Caenorhabditis elegans: one gene and its partner. The protein of the gene in region 2 purifies or fractionates together with the protein of the main gene of each other region. This does not show direct contact. Each region holds a gene or a part of one and is shown on either strand. Other genes may lie near its edges. The genes, in order: cls-2 and hcp-2.

Region 1 (5,962 bases), on a different chromosome or scaffold from region 2:
GAGTCCGTGGATGTCGAAGTACGTGAGCTTGAGGGTCATATTGAACGAAGTTGAGTGAATACTGACTGAAAACAAACACTTGAAATGTGGAAACTGGTTTTTTTTGTTTTCAAGAGAGAATTAAGAAAAGAAATCGAATGTGAGAAGTGGACAAATAGAACGGCTTTTATAGTTCGTGGAGGTACTAGGGGTGCTAGACGAAACAAGCAAGAGAGAGCACTGGAATGAAAGAGAAAGACAACGTGGCCAGCACGAAAATGATGACAAAAAGTTGTTAAGATGATTACAATTGTTCTGGATGACGTTGAAATGCCAGAGAAGTTTCTAGAAAATTAACAATAGTTTAGTCTTGGCGCCGGTAGCAGATCAGAAAAAACACTGAAACGAGATTACTGTCAACAAAACGTGATGGCTAATTGAATACCGAAAGTTTTTTACCTATTGTTCCAGATATATATTGGCCTGAACGAAAAAACGGTTTTCAACTTATACACAAGAAATAAATTTAAGAAATATTCATATAAAAAATAAATAAGAAAAGAAAATATATAAAAATAAAAATAAGAAATACGGGGGTCGAAAATCATAAGGGACATAAGTCGGGGGAAATTATGCTAAAAGGAGCATAGAGAAAGTGTGCAATACCCGCTCTTGACAAATAAAATTATATTACAAAGTGAAGGGATGAGAGAAAAGGGACGATAAGGTTTTACGGGGGAAATTTGGGATACGAATACGGGGGAATTATGGGCTACATTGCAACGACGAATCATACGTGCGAATGTGAACTGGACGACATTGCCCGATTGACGTAGACTTGGACAAGGTTCAGCTTTCCAGACGACAGATTTTGAAGATGTGGCTCCATTGTCTTCATTCCCAACTTGTTCACCATCGCGACCAGACAGTAGACAGCAGTTTTCCGAACTGCAGACGATGGGGAATCGTAAGACTGCAAAGTAAAAATTTCATTAATGAATTGCGATGTTTGATAAATAGTTACCTTGATCACACATGGCGCCAAATCATCAACCACTGGGCTCAATTCGTCGGCTTGGAGACCTTCAAACAATCTGGTCATCATTTTCAGAACCAAGCTTGCTTTGGGTTCTTGAGCTTTCTCCTGCAAATACTGACAAACAGATTACCTAAATGTAAAAATTCTTGAACTTACCTCATTCAAAATGAGCTGCGAGATGTTAACCACCTTAGCCAGTGGAAGGTGGGTTGCCAGCGTTTTCAAGCAGTCATCAGCGGTCACGTTCATCGTTCCGTCTTGTGAGTTGACAGCAGCATCCAAAACTTTACAGATGGCCATTTCCGTAGAGTCGAACAAGCGCGATGCTTGCGAAGTGCACATCTTTGTCAAAACGCGCAGAGCTACTTTCTTGTTGGCGTCTGATTCGCTTTTGGAGAGCACATCGAAGACAGCGATCAACAGCTTGGCGAAGTTTTGCTCCCAAAGAGTGAATGAGCCTTCACACAACATTGTCTGGATCGACAAAAGTCCTTCGTATTGCTGAGCTCCCATGTCACCAGAGATCTGGGCCAGCTTCGACGCCACGTACTTGCTCTGCTCCGACGTATCGTCAATAAGATGCGTTGTTGAGTTGAGCTGAAAAATAATTTGAAGAAAGAATAGGAGGATGAAACTGACGGTCATTATTGAGCCAAAATGTAGAAATGATTTTTAACGTCTACGAAAAATATACTTTGCTGAACTACGCGCCTTACGTGGCCACTGAAACGAAGAAAGAGGGGGGGGGGGGGGGGGGTTCGAAATCCTCTGACCACTTGTCATTTAAAACCATTTTCTTTTAAATATAATGCTGTTAAATACCTTTAATCGGTCGAATGACTCATTGAAGCTGAGTTCCTCGTCTCTGTGCTGTGAATTCATTTCCGAAGACAGAGGACGAAGTGGTTCCGCATCGACTCGTTTGAAACCCGACGAAATGGCTCTTGTGCTAGGCGATTTTACTGGAGTCATATCAAGATTCCTCGACACGACGAAATCTTCTATCTGCGCAGCTGTAGTAGAAATCGTGGCTCGCACACAGGCCTCTTCAGAAACAGCATCTTGTTGTGGAACGTGTTGATCATGTCCGTGAGACTGAAGAACTTTGTATGCCCAATCGCGATAGTCGGGGTTGAAGTCGTTGAAAAGTGCAGAGAAGTCGGCGTTGTTCAATGCGAAGAGTGAGCAGAGTACTTTCTCGCCATGCTGAAAAATGCATATTGCTAAAATAAAGAGAGAGCTATAATTACCGGGGTGATCAACTGTTCATTCCTCTGATCTGCCATCCACGAAAACATCTTGAGAATGGTGGCCTTCATCTCTTTAGTGTTGAACGACGATCCTCGCTCCATATACTTCCCAAGAAGTTCATTGAGATATTCAAGAAGGACCACGCGACTCTTCGGGGACATTAGATGAATTGGATCGCACACCAGCTCGCATGTTGATTTCAATTGCAGGGTTGGATCAAACGATGACAGAATACAGCTGATGGTTGTGGAAATTTGCTTCTTACTGTTCAACGTCATCTCTGCTCCTTTCTTTGCAAACAGCTTTCCAAGGCCAAGCTTGAGCCAATCACTGAGACGGGGATGATGGGTTTTGACAAACGAACTGATTGATTCCAGCACAATCTGAAATAAAATGTTGCAATAAAAATTATTAAATTAAAATGTTCTACCTGGTTCGTGGATTCTCCGAGCAATCTGTTAAGAACCGCGCCCAGGCTTTTGATTTCGGCGTTGCTGAGATTTGGCTCCGAAACAATGCCTGCAAGCATTTTAATTCCTTCTCGCTTCTCATTTGCAGAGGTCGACGAACAAGCACGAATCACTTCTTCCACTCTGGAAGTATCAAGTGCACTTTTTTGTGGTGTTGCCTTCTGTGGGGTTGGACGTTTTGGCAAGAGGAACTCATCATCATCGTTGCGTGATGGTTGCCTCAAGCTCTCCTTTGCCGTGTTCATTGCCTTCTGCAGTTTCGTAGCTTCCTCGGCTGACAGAGAAGAAACGAACGAGTTAGAACCAAGATTCGACTTGACTCGTTGCATTTCGGCTGGAAATGCCTCTGTGGCGGATGGACGGCGTGGCGGTGATCCATTTCGAGAACCAGGCTGAGACGTTGGGACACTTCCACGAGCACGAAGATTGGAAGAGGTACGAGAACCAAGCGCTCCAACTGTTGGTCTAGCAAACTTCGAACCTCCTGGAGAGGTGTCGATTTTTGAAAGTGTCCTAGTGGTCATCGGGCGAATGTTTGGAGTTCTGGACACAGATGTTGCCATTCGCGTCACCTGCTTTGTATCGATGGCAGAAGCACTTCTTTGAGCAAGAAACTCTGTAAACGAAATAATTGGATTGATATGTTGAACTTTAAACTCACTTGAAGAAATGTTCGGTGCATTTCTGATTCCACCAATACTGCCCGCAGACAATTTCGACCGAAATGGTGCAGTTCCGCGTTCACTATTGATGCTCGTGCTTGATGATGCAGCATCAGAGGCACGCAACATCTTTTGTTTCGATGAGTCGACTGAAGCAAATAGTTTGTCTGCCTCAGTGGAGTGTAGTGCATCGAGCTTGCTGAATGCTTTTCGTCCGGCAACTCTGGTCTCTGGATCAGCATCGCAAATTGCTGCCTTGATCAACTCGCCAATTTGTGGTAGAACTGTCCTCTTGATCTTTTCGTTCCAATGTTCGAGGACGATTTCCAGCAATGCGCACAGCTGTCTCCGTTGATTTTTATCCTTCGATGTGGAGTAGGAGGCAATGCAAGTGAAAATCTGTTTTGTTTGAATAAATTCAACAATAAACAGAGTTAACACCGCTCCACACGTTGCCATCACCTTTGTGCTTACAGCGACTTGGGCAAACGCTGATGGAAGACATCTCTCGGCAATTTGACGAACATCCGTCCCGAACCGTTTGAATAGGAATCCACAGGTGATCGCAGCTTCTCGCAGGATTTGCGATCGGAGATCTTTCACTGAGAGGTCCAGGCAGTCGGTAAGCCGGACAAGCTGGCTCAAAAGCTGCTCCCTTCCAATAACGTCTTCTCCGTGAACCACCATTGAGCGAATCTGTTTCAACTTATTCATTCGTTTGTTCCAGTCTTCCTGGCCTTTCGACAGAGTTTCAATTGTCTGGTCCAACTTTTCCTTGAAGTCTGAGGGCGACGAGATTTCCTGAAAAACAAATAAGTAAGACCAGACCATACGCGAGAACAAAACTTACCATTTTGGGCACTTCCTCGAACGACTTCAAAAAGTCGTCCTTGCTGACGATACATGTCCCACCCGGAGTCGATCGGCTGATGACACGGCTCATCTGGAAAATATAGATATTGTGAAAGAAAGCAAAAATGGAGAGAATGAGAAAATCCAACAGTTTACAAACACAGAACAAACATTCAGTATCGAGCGCAAATTGTGAAATAGCCCGGCAAGGATTTGTCATTACTAGAGCGCAATTGCATTAATTTCGAAAACGGTGAGGAGGGCACATTTTACTTGGATCATTTCGATAAATTCAAACAGACATTCAATCTTGAAAAATGATTCACACCAAAGACTCAAGGAAATCGTATTCGAAGAAAATAATGAATTCCAAAGCTGAGAAAGGAGAATATAAGAAAAAAGCGCGAAGAACGTTTCAATTTTCAATGAAAAAATTTTGCATATCCAAATGAAAATTCTAGAAATGATATTTAAAAATTTTTAGGCTAAAAATAGTGCTGACGAGAGAGTAGAGAGACGAGACATCAAAGTGTTAAAGGCACAGCCTCGGGTCTCGAGACGAAAACGCGTCCGGCGCCAGATTCAAACATTAAAGGATTAAAAAAAAACCGATTTTTTTCACCGATTTCGCTCGTTTCTTCTGTAAAATATATATCAGAAACGTTACAGGAAATATATTTACTAAAATAAATGTTTTTCTAAAATACACATGTGTATTGCTTCTGTCTGTAAAGTGCAACTCTGTCTGTTTGATATAAATTTTTGTGAATGCGCCAGAGTGCTGAGAAAATTATAACTGCGAATTTTAAATTACGAGATTCTTGAATGGCTTCTATTGTACGATTATTTCATAATCATGGTTGGTTTTTCTACAGGCAGAAAACAATCAATTCATTTCAGCTGTACTATCATATTCTTCACTTTCACTACCAAAAACTGATCGTTTTCGGAAAAAGTCGCCTATATTTTCCCATTCCGACAGAAACTTCTCGGCTGTCTCGGTTGAATAGCGCTTGCCGAGCGTTTAGCTGTCTGCGTCTCTAACCGTAGCGATGTGTCTCCTCCACGTGGTCGATTGGTTTGTTGCGCGAACCTTCTAGAACAATCCGCTCACTTCCCGAAGACCTCAATTCTCATACAAAAGAGTTTCCCGCCCCCGTAATCGAGGTTTCTCACCAAAATTTGCAATCATATCGACATTTTTGACACGTTAAACCTGTCCTTCATTGTTTCCGCGTTGTTGTGTGTTTATCTCCGTTTCAATTTTCAATTTTTTTAGTTGAAATTGCATTGCGTCTTTCTCTTCTGTTTCTCCTTTTCCATGTGTAAAGTCATATGCTTTATTTTTTTTTGCAGAAATGACACAACTCACCAACTTCAGCGAATCGTTCTCGAATCAAAATTCGAATCTTCACCAGCCCTACAACTTCAACTCACATCAGCCACCAGAAGAAAATCATTATTATGTACGAGAACCAAATGGAAAACGCCCGTTTCCCGTTGAATTTGAGTTGGTAAGTGACTCATCGTTAAATTTCGATTTTATCATACAATTTTTAACTAGATTTAAGAACTTTGAATAAAAAACTAGTCTGAGATGTTATGAACAATTAAAGCACGTGCAAAGCTTAGATTCATTCGAAAAAATCTTTCGACATCATAAACTAGGTGGGATGAAGCCATCACGTGTTGATTCATGAACTGCTACC
Region 2 (6,664 bases):
GGCCTCCGTCTTGTCGCCTGGGATGTTGTCGAGTCTGAGCTTTTCAGAGTCCGATAGCTTCAGCGGCGGGATCCTTGGCGGTTTAGAGGTTCGTTCCAGTTGGCGCTTTGCTTCCAGGTCTCTGCACGGGTGCGTGTTTGACTTGATCGCTGCCAAGTACATCTGTTGCGTCGAGAGCTTATATTCTTCTTTCAAAGGGAGAACTCTGCATTCTTGGTAGATGTGGTCCGTCGGCGTGTCCTTCGTTAGTCCAACTCATAACTCCAATCTTGTTGCCGTTGTTATTTTGTTGTGGCCGTCTTGTCGAAGGAAGGGGAGGAGCCTAGTCAACAAGGTAGATCAAAAATAAATTATGAGAAATTTGTGCGATCGTATTTTTTCGATAATATCACGGTCAATTTTTTAAATGATAATCAAACAAACTCAATATAATCAATGATCTGTATTTTTTCGGATTTAATTAATCAATTCAATGCATCAAAGAAGAAGACTATGTAATATAAAAGCACAATCATCTAAATTTAAATTCACATAAAGACATTTATTCTGACCCGGAAAGACATTCACAGTTGAGTAGTGCGCGGAAATACGTAATGGCACACAAAAAGTAAAAATAAATAAAATACGAGTTCAAATTATTGCTGGTTGCAGTTTGAGCGGTTCGCCTTCTTCGACGGCGTTTCAACTGCAGTTGTTTCTTGAAGATGATCATCTGGATGGAGTACCGTAGATGACGTGATAGCATCTGGCGAATGGGAAAACTCTTCTTGGAACGAATCCTGAGCATCTTCGAACTTGTCCTCAACAACAGGCTCTGGTGGCTCCGCATGAGAATGTTCACGACTCAGCGGCTTCACTCTGAAATATCAAAGATTTACATATCTGAGTTTTGTCGAAAATCATGGAGACTTACCCAAGTCTGGCCTGTTGAAGGAGTCCCATTACTTTTGGTGGTTTCTTGATTCCTTTCAATTGCTTTATCTCAGATTGAAGCTTCGAGATGGCATCCTTCAGCTCTCGTTCAACGTCGTCGAAATCGTCACACACCTTCTCGAGTCGTACAATCTCCTTCTGGGCTCTTCCCAGTTGCTCCTCAAGTTCCGCTATTTTGGATAGTGCTTCTTCTAGAGCCGCTGATTGCTCGTTCTTCTCTTCCTGGATCACAGTTATATCATGCTGAGCTTGCTGCTCCACTTCAACTGCGTATTTGTCCGATGCAACCAGCTTCTCATTCATTTGTTGAAGTTGTACTTGTAACTGAGACAACGATTCAGTCAGTGTACCGACATTCATGGCTTGGGTCTTCCAAACATTCGATGCTTCAAGGCGCTCCTCGAACTGCTGAGACATCGCTTCGATTCGAGCTTGGAGAGTGATAATCTCTTTTTCTTTCTGAGCAATCATTTGTTCAGCATGACCAAGCTGCTCTTTGTCTGCGGAAACAGTTTGGTTGAACTCGTTTTGAAGTGATGTCCTCTGAAAAGAAATAAATTATGTTCTGTTCGAAATTCGAAAGAATATACCTCTGTCTCAAAGTCTTGCTTCAGCTTTACCATTGCCTCATTCGCCTCAGATATCTGAATGTCTTGTTGATGTTTGACGTCTTCTACATCTTGAAGAGCCTTCTGTGCAAAGGAGATGGAAGCTTCAAGCTCTTCGATACGAGCAGCAAGTTCATTTGACTGGGAACGGGATGTTTCCGTGGAATGTTGAGCCGATTTGAGCTCGTCGAGAGTCAATTGAAGCTGCTCCTGCTGATCACGATGTTTCGATACTTGAGCGATTAGCTGAAAAACAAGTTTAATTCGACTGAAATCTTAAGGAATTTAAACCTCTTCTTCTCTTCTCTGAACTTTAGCTTCGGATACTTCTAGGCTCTTTTTCAGTTCTTCCATCCCTTCAAGAGCATCCCCAAGCTTCGCATTCAGTTCATCAACCATTTCCTTGTTCATTATCTTAGCTCCAATCAGTTCTTCCTTAACATTTTCCACTTGGGATTCTCCGACGACGAGTTTATGTTGAAGCTCTTCTAGTTGAGATGCCAACGCCACCATATCCCTCTTGTGACTAGAATTTAGTTTTTCATTCAGAGATTCGAGAACTTCAGCATTTTGTTTGAAATTTTGAAGGTCCAATTGAAGTTGTTTTATCTCTTCCACAGAGCTTTGTTGAAGATCTTGAGCAGACTTTTCCGTATCTTCAATTTTCAACTTCAGCGTATCCACCAGTCTCAGAAGACCATCTTTTTCTTGAACTGCAGCATCAACCACTGATCGAGAAACTTCTTGTGATGCCGACAACTCCAGTTGAAGGGCTTCGAAAGATTCTTTTAAAACCTCACTCTCCATCACTTTCTGACGAGCATTACTGACTTCTATCTTGAGCATCTCCAGAGAGACCTGCAATTCTTGATTCGTACTTTCTGCAGAGTGCAATTTTTCCTTCAAATCATCAATCAATGATTCCTGTTGATTCTTCAGATCTAGAATTTGTTCTTCAGAGGAGGCCAAATCAGAGCGAAGTTTTTCGTTGGTTTCCTCTGCTTGCCGAATTTTTCTCAAATAATCTTCAAGGATGTGTTTTTGGTCTGCGGCGGAATCTGACTGCACTCGAACTTCAGCTTGGAGAGAATCAATAGAGGATCTCAGCTCAATAACTTCTGCTTCCGTCGACATCAACTTGCTCTGAATCTGGTACTTTTCTTCTTGATGTCGAGCCGATTCCTGGTGCATGACTTCAGAAGTCTCGCGAAGAGATACAAGTTGCTGAATTTGTTCCTCCTTCAATTGATCACGAAGCTTCTGACAATCTTCTTGAACAATTTCTAGCTTCTTGAGCTGTGAACTTCCAGTTTTTACAGCTTCTTCTTGTGCCAACTCCAATTCTTTAATTCTTATTTCCGCCTCTTCCAATTCAACTGATGTTTCATGTTGAATTTCTTCTAGTTCCAGTTGAAGACTGCAAACTTTATCCACCGAAGCCTTATATTCTCTTCGCATTGTTTCCAACTCAGAGACTGTGTTTTCAAGAGCAAGCGAATACTCATTTTGTGTAGACTCCGAATCCATTAGAAGTTTATCGCTGGCCTCAGAATCTTGACGAAGAGACTCAATGGTAGTCAATAGTTCACTGATTCGAACATCTTTATCTTCCGCTTTACGATGTGCATCGTTTAGCTGACCTTCCATGTCCACCAATTTTGCATTTTCGACGCGAAGGCTATTGATCTGAAATAAGAAATATAGTGCAATTATTTCTAAACTCGAACTACGAACCTGTTCCAGGAGTTCACCGTTTTTCTGAACAGCTTCCCCAATTTCTGACGTGGCTTTCTCTTTCACTTCTACGAGCTCTGACTGAAGTTCAAGCATTTTTGAAGTCAAATTGCAACAGTCAATTTTGAGATCATCGAGAGTCTTCTGAAGTTCTTCCAGTTCAGTAGTATCATTCTTCGGTTGAAGAGCAGACATTTCATTCTCAAGACGATGGATTTCATCCAACATCAGTTTACGAACAATTTCATGTTCCGACTTCAGAGTTTCAATTTCAGAGTTGGAGAACACCTAAGAAAAAATATAATTAATTTTCAGGCAAGATATTAACTGCATTACCTCTTTGTTGATCGTTGTCTCCAATTCCACATACTTCATCTGTAGTGTCTCAATGTCTTCCTTAGCCTTTTGCAGTTGTTCATCAGCCTCCTCTTTCATTTCTTGCAACTCCACAAACTTTTTTTCGTAGTCCTCAATGCTGTGTTGCATGACATCAACCTTCAGTGCTTTGTCAGTAAGCTCTTCACAACGACTCTTCAACTCTTCCAACTGATGTTCAAACTGTAGTTTCTCTCCGTTCGGCTCCGTTAATTTCATCTCGAGCTCTTCAATCCGTTTCTCAAGAAGTTGTTCCAGAGTTTTTGCAGCTTCGCGCTCAGATTTCGTCTTTTTTACAGCCTCCTCCACTTGTTGCATGAGCATTTTCTCTTCAACTTCACGAGCTTCTTTAATTTCAACAAGAGTTTGTCTATGTTTCTCTCCAAGAAGTTCAATTTTCAATTGAAGATCTTTAACGACTTCATCATGCTCGATATTTTTCTCCAGCATTTCGAATTCATATCTGAAATAAACAATTTAACAATGGGAATAAATTTAAATTAATCTTACAAAGAATATTCAATTCTCGATTTTTCATGCTGAGATGTTGACTGAACTGACTCTACAGAAGTTGACTGCACAACCTCACTCTCGATTGGAATTTTCGAACGAAGTGGGGAAGGAGCAGTTGGTGTACTTTCGTCTCCAACTTGTGTCTGGCTCCGAAGTGGTGTTGACGGAGTATTCTCTAGATCTTGAATCGTTGCTTGTTGGAAGAAGTCGTTCGCCAGTGTGACGTCACCATCAGTCGCAAAACTCTCGTCAGCAATGCTACAGTCTTTGCTGATGCTGTCTTCACTGTAAACCTTCGTTTGTTCCAAATTAGGATCGACATCATGAGCTGAGGAAGCTCTTGGCGGTTCACAGACACTGTTATCATCAACGGAGGTATTTGGCGGGGCGAGTGTGGAAAAATTGGAGATTGAAGAATCATCAAGAATAGAGTCGGAGGTACTGGTAGACGAATGGCGCGAGTCTGGCTCAATGCGAGTTTCTTCAAGATTTCCATCGGCCAAATTCATAGCAGAACGCCCGAAAAACCTTTTCGATTCCTTTCCGAGACGCGATTTCGGTGTCGCAGCAGAAAACGGAGATTCAAGCTGTTGTCGCTTCTGAAATTGTTTTGCTTTTGATAAATACAAAAATATTTAATTTACCTTCCCAGTTGCAGGCTTGTTTTCATCGCCGTCGTTTGTACTTTCCTCCATATTGAATTTGATCAAATTCGTCTGAGAATTTACGATAATGAGTTGGGGAATTGCACTATTGAAAAAAACAGTCCACGTTTAACGAAATAAAACGAAGTGAATCTGGAACTTCACGAGAAAATAATAATTTTCAACAAAACAATACAAAAACTGGAGCAATCGTTTAAAATTTCGCGCCGTTTCAATAGGGCGAGTTTGTATTTGCAATGCAAATTCGAATATATTCGATCCAATCGAACTCTATATTTTGCTTAATTTTTTTTGCGGAAGGAATTTATTTTTAAACTTTGTTCGTTTCCTTATTTTTAGTAAGTATTAGTGAATTCTTCATAATATTATCACAAAAACGTTAGCAATATATTTTAAATATTGTTAAATATCCATCGAACCACTGAAATAACGTGCGCAGGCTTTCAGATATTTGGGAATGAATATCGATAAGGATGTTTCAGCTCTGCTATGTACGGCGAAAAAATATGTGACGCAGAAAGAATTCAACAGGTATAATTATTAAATCTTATCTTAACTTTTTTATTTTACATTTTCAGACAAAAAATGAAATTCTTGTTAGATGACATAACTAAATTGTTATCGAAATCTTTCGTTTCCCGAATCGAGCAGTTAGACGAAAATGAGTTCATGGAAAAGATGTGAGTTGGAAAATGTAGAAGATGATGATTATATTTATGTTTTTTCAGAATGATCCTTCAGAGTATAACATTTACATTACATTTAATAACAGAGAAGCAGGAACTTTCTTCAGGTAGAAAATACAATTTAGTATTTGTATTAATATATTCGTTCCAGAGGAAAAAATAAGATTATTTCAATCAGTGATTGCGTCGATGTGTGCCTTTGAGGATGAAGAATTGGCAAAATGTTTTGACGTTAGCAAGAATTATATTCAATAATTCAATGTTTTTTATTTATTTCAGCGAATTCTATCAGTACTGATGATCTCTGTGACGAAACAAGACCCGAGAGAAACTATTTATTTCCTGCAAGGATTACTGGAAGTTGTTAAATATTGTGACGTCGAACCTTCGTCTTCTCTGCCACAATTAATCACTCCTGAAATTGCTTCAGCTATTTCATTAGGTGCCTCAGGATTTTTTAGATATCATTTGAAGTGGAATATCATTTCAACTTTATTCGGAGAAAACGCAGGAGAATGCGTTCATTTCGATGAATTGGTTCTGTTTTGGCCTCACTGCCGATCACAGTTGGAAGACAAACTGAAAAATGATTGCTCGATGACCGAAAATTGCTTGCGTGCTGGATTGACAATCTTAAAATATAAAAAACTGCACAATTCTATTCTTGATCAGGCCCTGTTCATTGATGAACTGTTTGCCACATTTAACTCATTAACTGCGAAGAAGTCGACCAATCACATGACGTTTCCAAAGCTATTGAATGTAATTTCATTTTTATACTTCGAATGTATAATTTATCAATTTCAGGAGATACAACACTTTCTACAGGATCATGGCAAAGTTTTGATTATGCATAAAGAACTTCGACAAAAACCAGTTCAATGGCTCATAATTTATTTAGAGTTAATCGATGATGCAAATGACAAGTTTGGACTACTAGAAAACTTTTCCTTGTTGTTGTTAGATTTATCGACAAACCATGATATACATGAGTTTCCTGCGAGGCTATGTATGACAGCAAGTGAGATTTGCATGGTGAGTTAATTAGAATATTAAACAATTAAATCTCGGAATTGTTACAGCGGCGAATCAAACACTCTATTCAAAGTACACACACTGATTGCCTTGCTGATTACCTGGACATATTGGC

The links.
Region 1: the proteins of hcp-2 (region 2) and cls-2 purify together in Caenorhabditis elegans (affinity purification with mass spectrometry, with the first as the bait; one study listed by BioGRID). This does not show direct contact.

What each region holds. Positions count from the first base shown.
Region 1 is NC_003281.10:9,053,434-9,059,395, reverse strand, and holds cls-2 (TOG domain-containing protein), read right to left. Parts: upstream 4,349-5,962; 5' UTR 4,345-4,348; coding exon 4,252-4,344; intron 4,203-4,251; coding exon 3,401-4,202; intron 3,356-3,400; coding exon 2,700-3,355; intron 2,653-2,699; coding exon 2,269-2,652; intron 2,225-2,268; coding exon 1,841-2,224; intron 1,616-1,840; coding exon 1,175-1,615; intron 1,133-1,174; coding exon 1,004-1,132; intron 953-1,003; coding exon 770-952; 3' UTR 501-769; downstream 1-500. Other genes in the region: gst-1 (Glutathione S-transferase P), read right to left, coding at 1-39; R107.5 (uncharacterized protein), read left to right, coding at 5,612-5,767. UniProt on the Caenorhabditis elegans protein: Probable microtubule plus-end tracking protein that promotes the stabilization of dynamic microtubules. Required for the formation of mitotic and meiotic spindles. Specifically promotes the polymerization of kinetochore-bound microtubules.
Region 2 is NC_003283.11:9,644,076-9,650,739, reverse strand, and holds hcp-2 (HoloCentric chromosome binding Protein), read right to left. Parts: upstream 4,882-6,664; 5' UTR 4,859-4,881; coding exon 4,808-4,858; intron 4,763-4,807; coding exon 4,161-4,762; intron 4,114-4,160; coding exon 3,612-4,113; intron 3,564-3,611; coding exon 3,276-3,563; intron 3,228-3,275; coding exon 1,833-3,227; intron 1,788-1,832; coding exon 1,524-1,787; intron 1,477-1,523; coding exon 914-1,476; intron 859-913; coding exon 636-858; 3' UTR 529-635; downstream 1-528. Other genes in the region: atl-1 (Serine/threonine-protein kinase ATR), read left to right, coding at 5,286-5,359, 5,407-5,508, 5,557-5,621, 5,666-5,745, 5,794-6,276, 6,322-6,549, 6,597-6,664.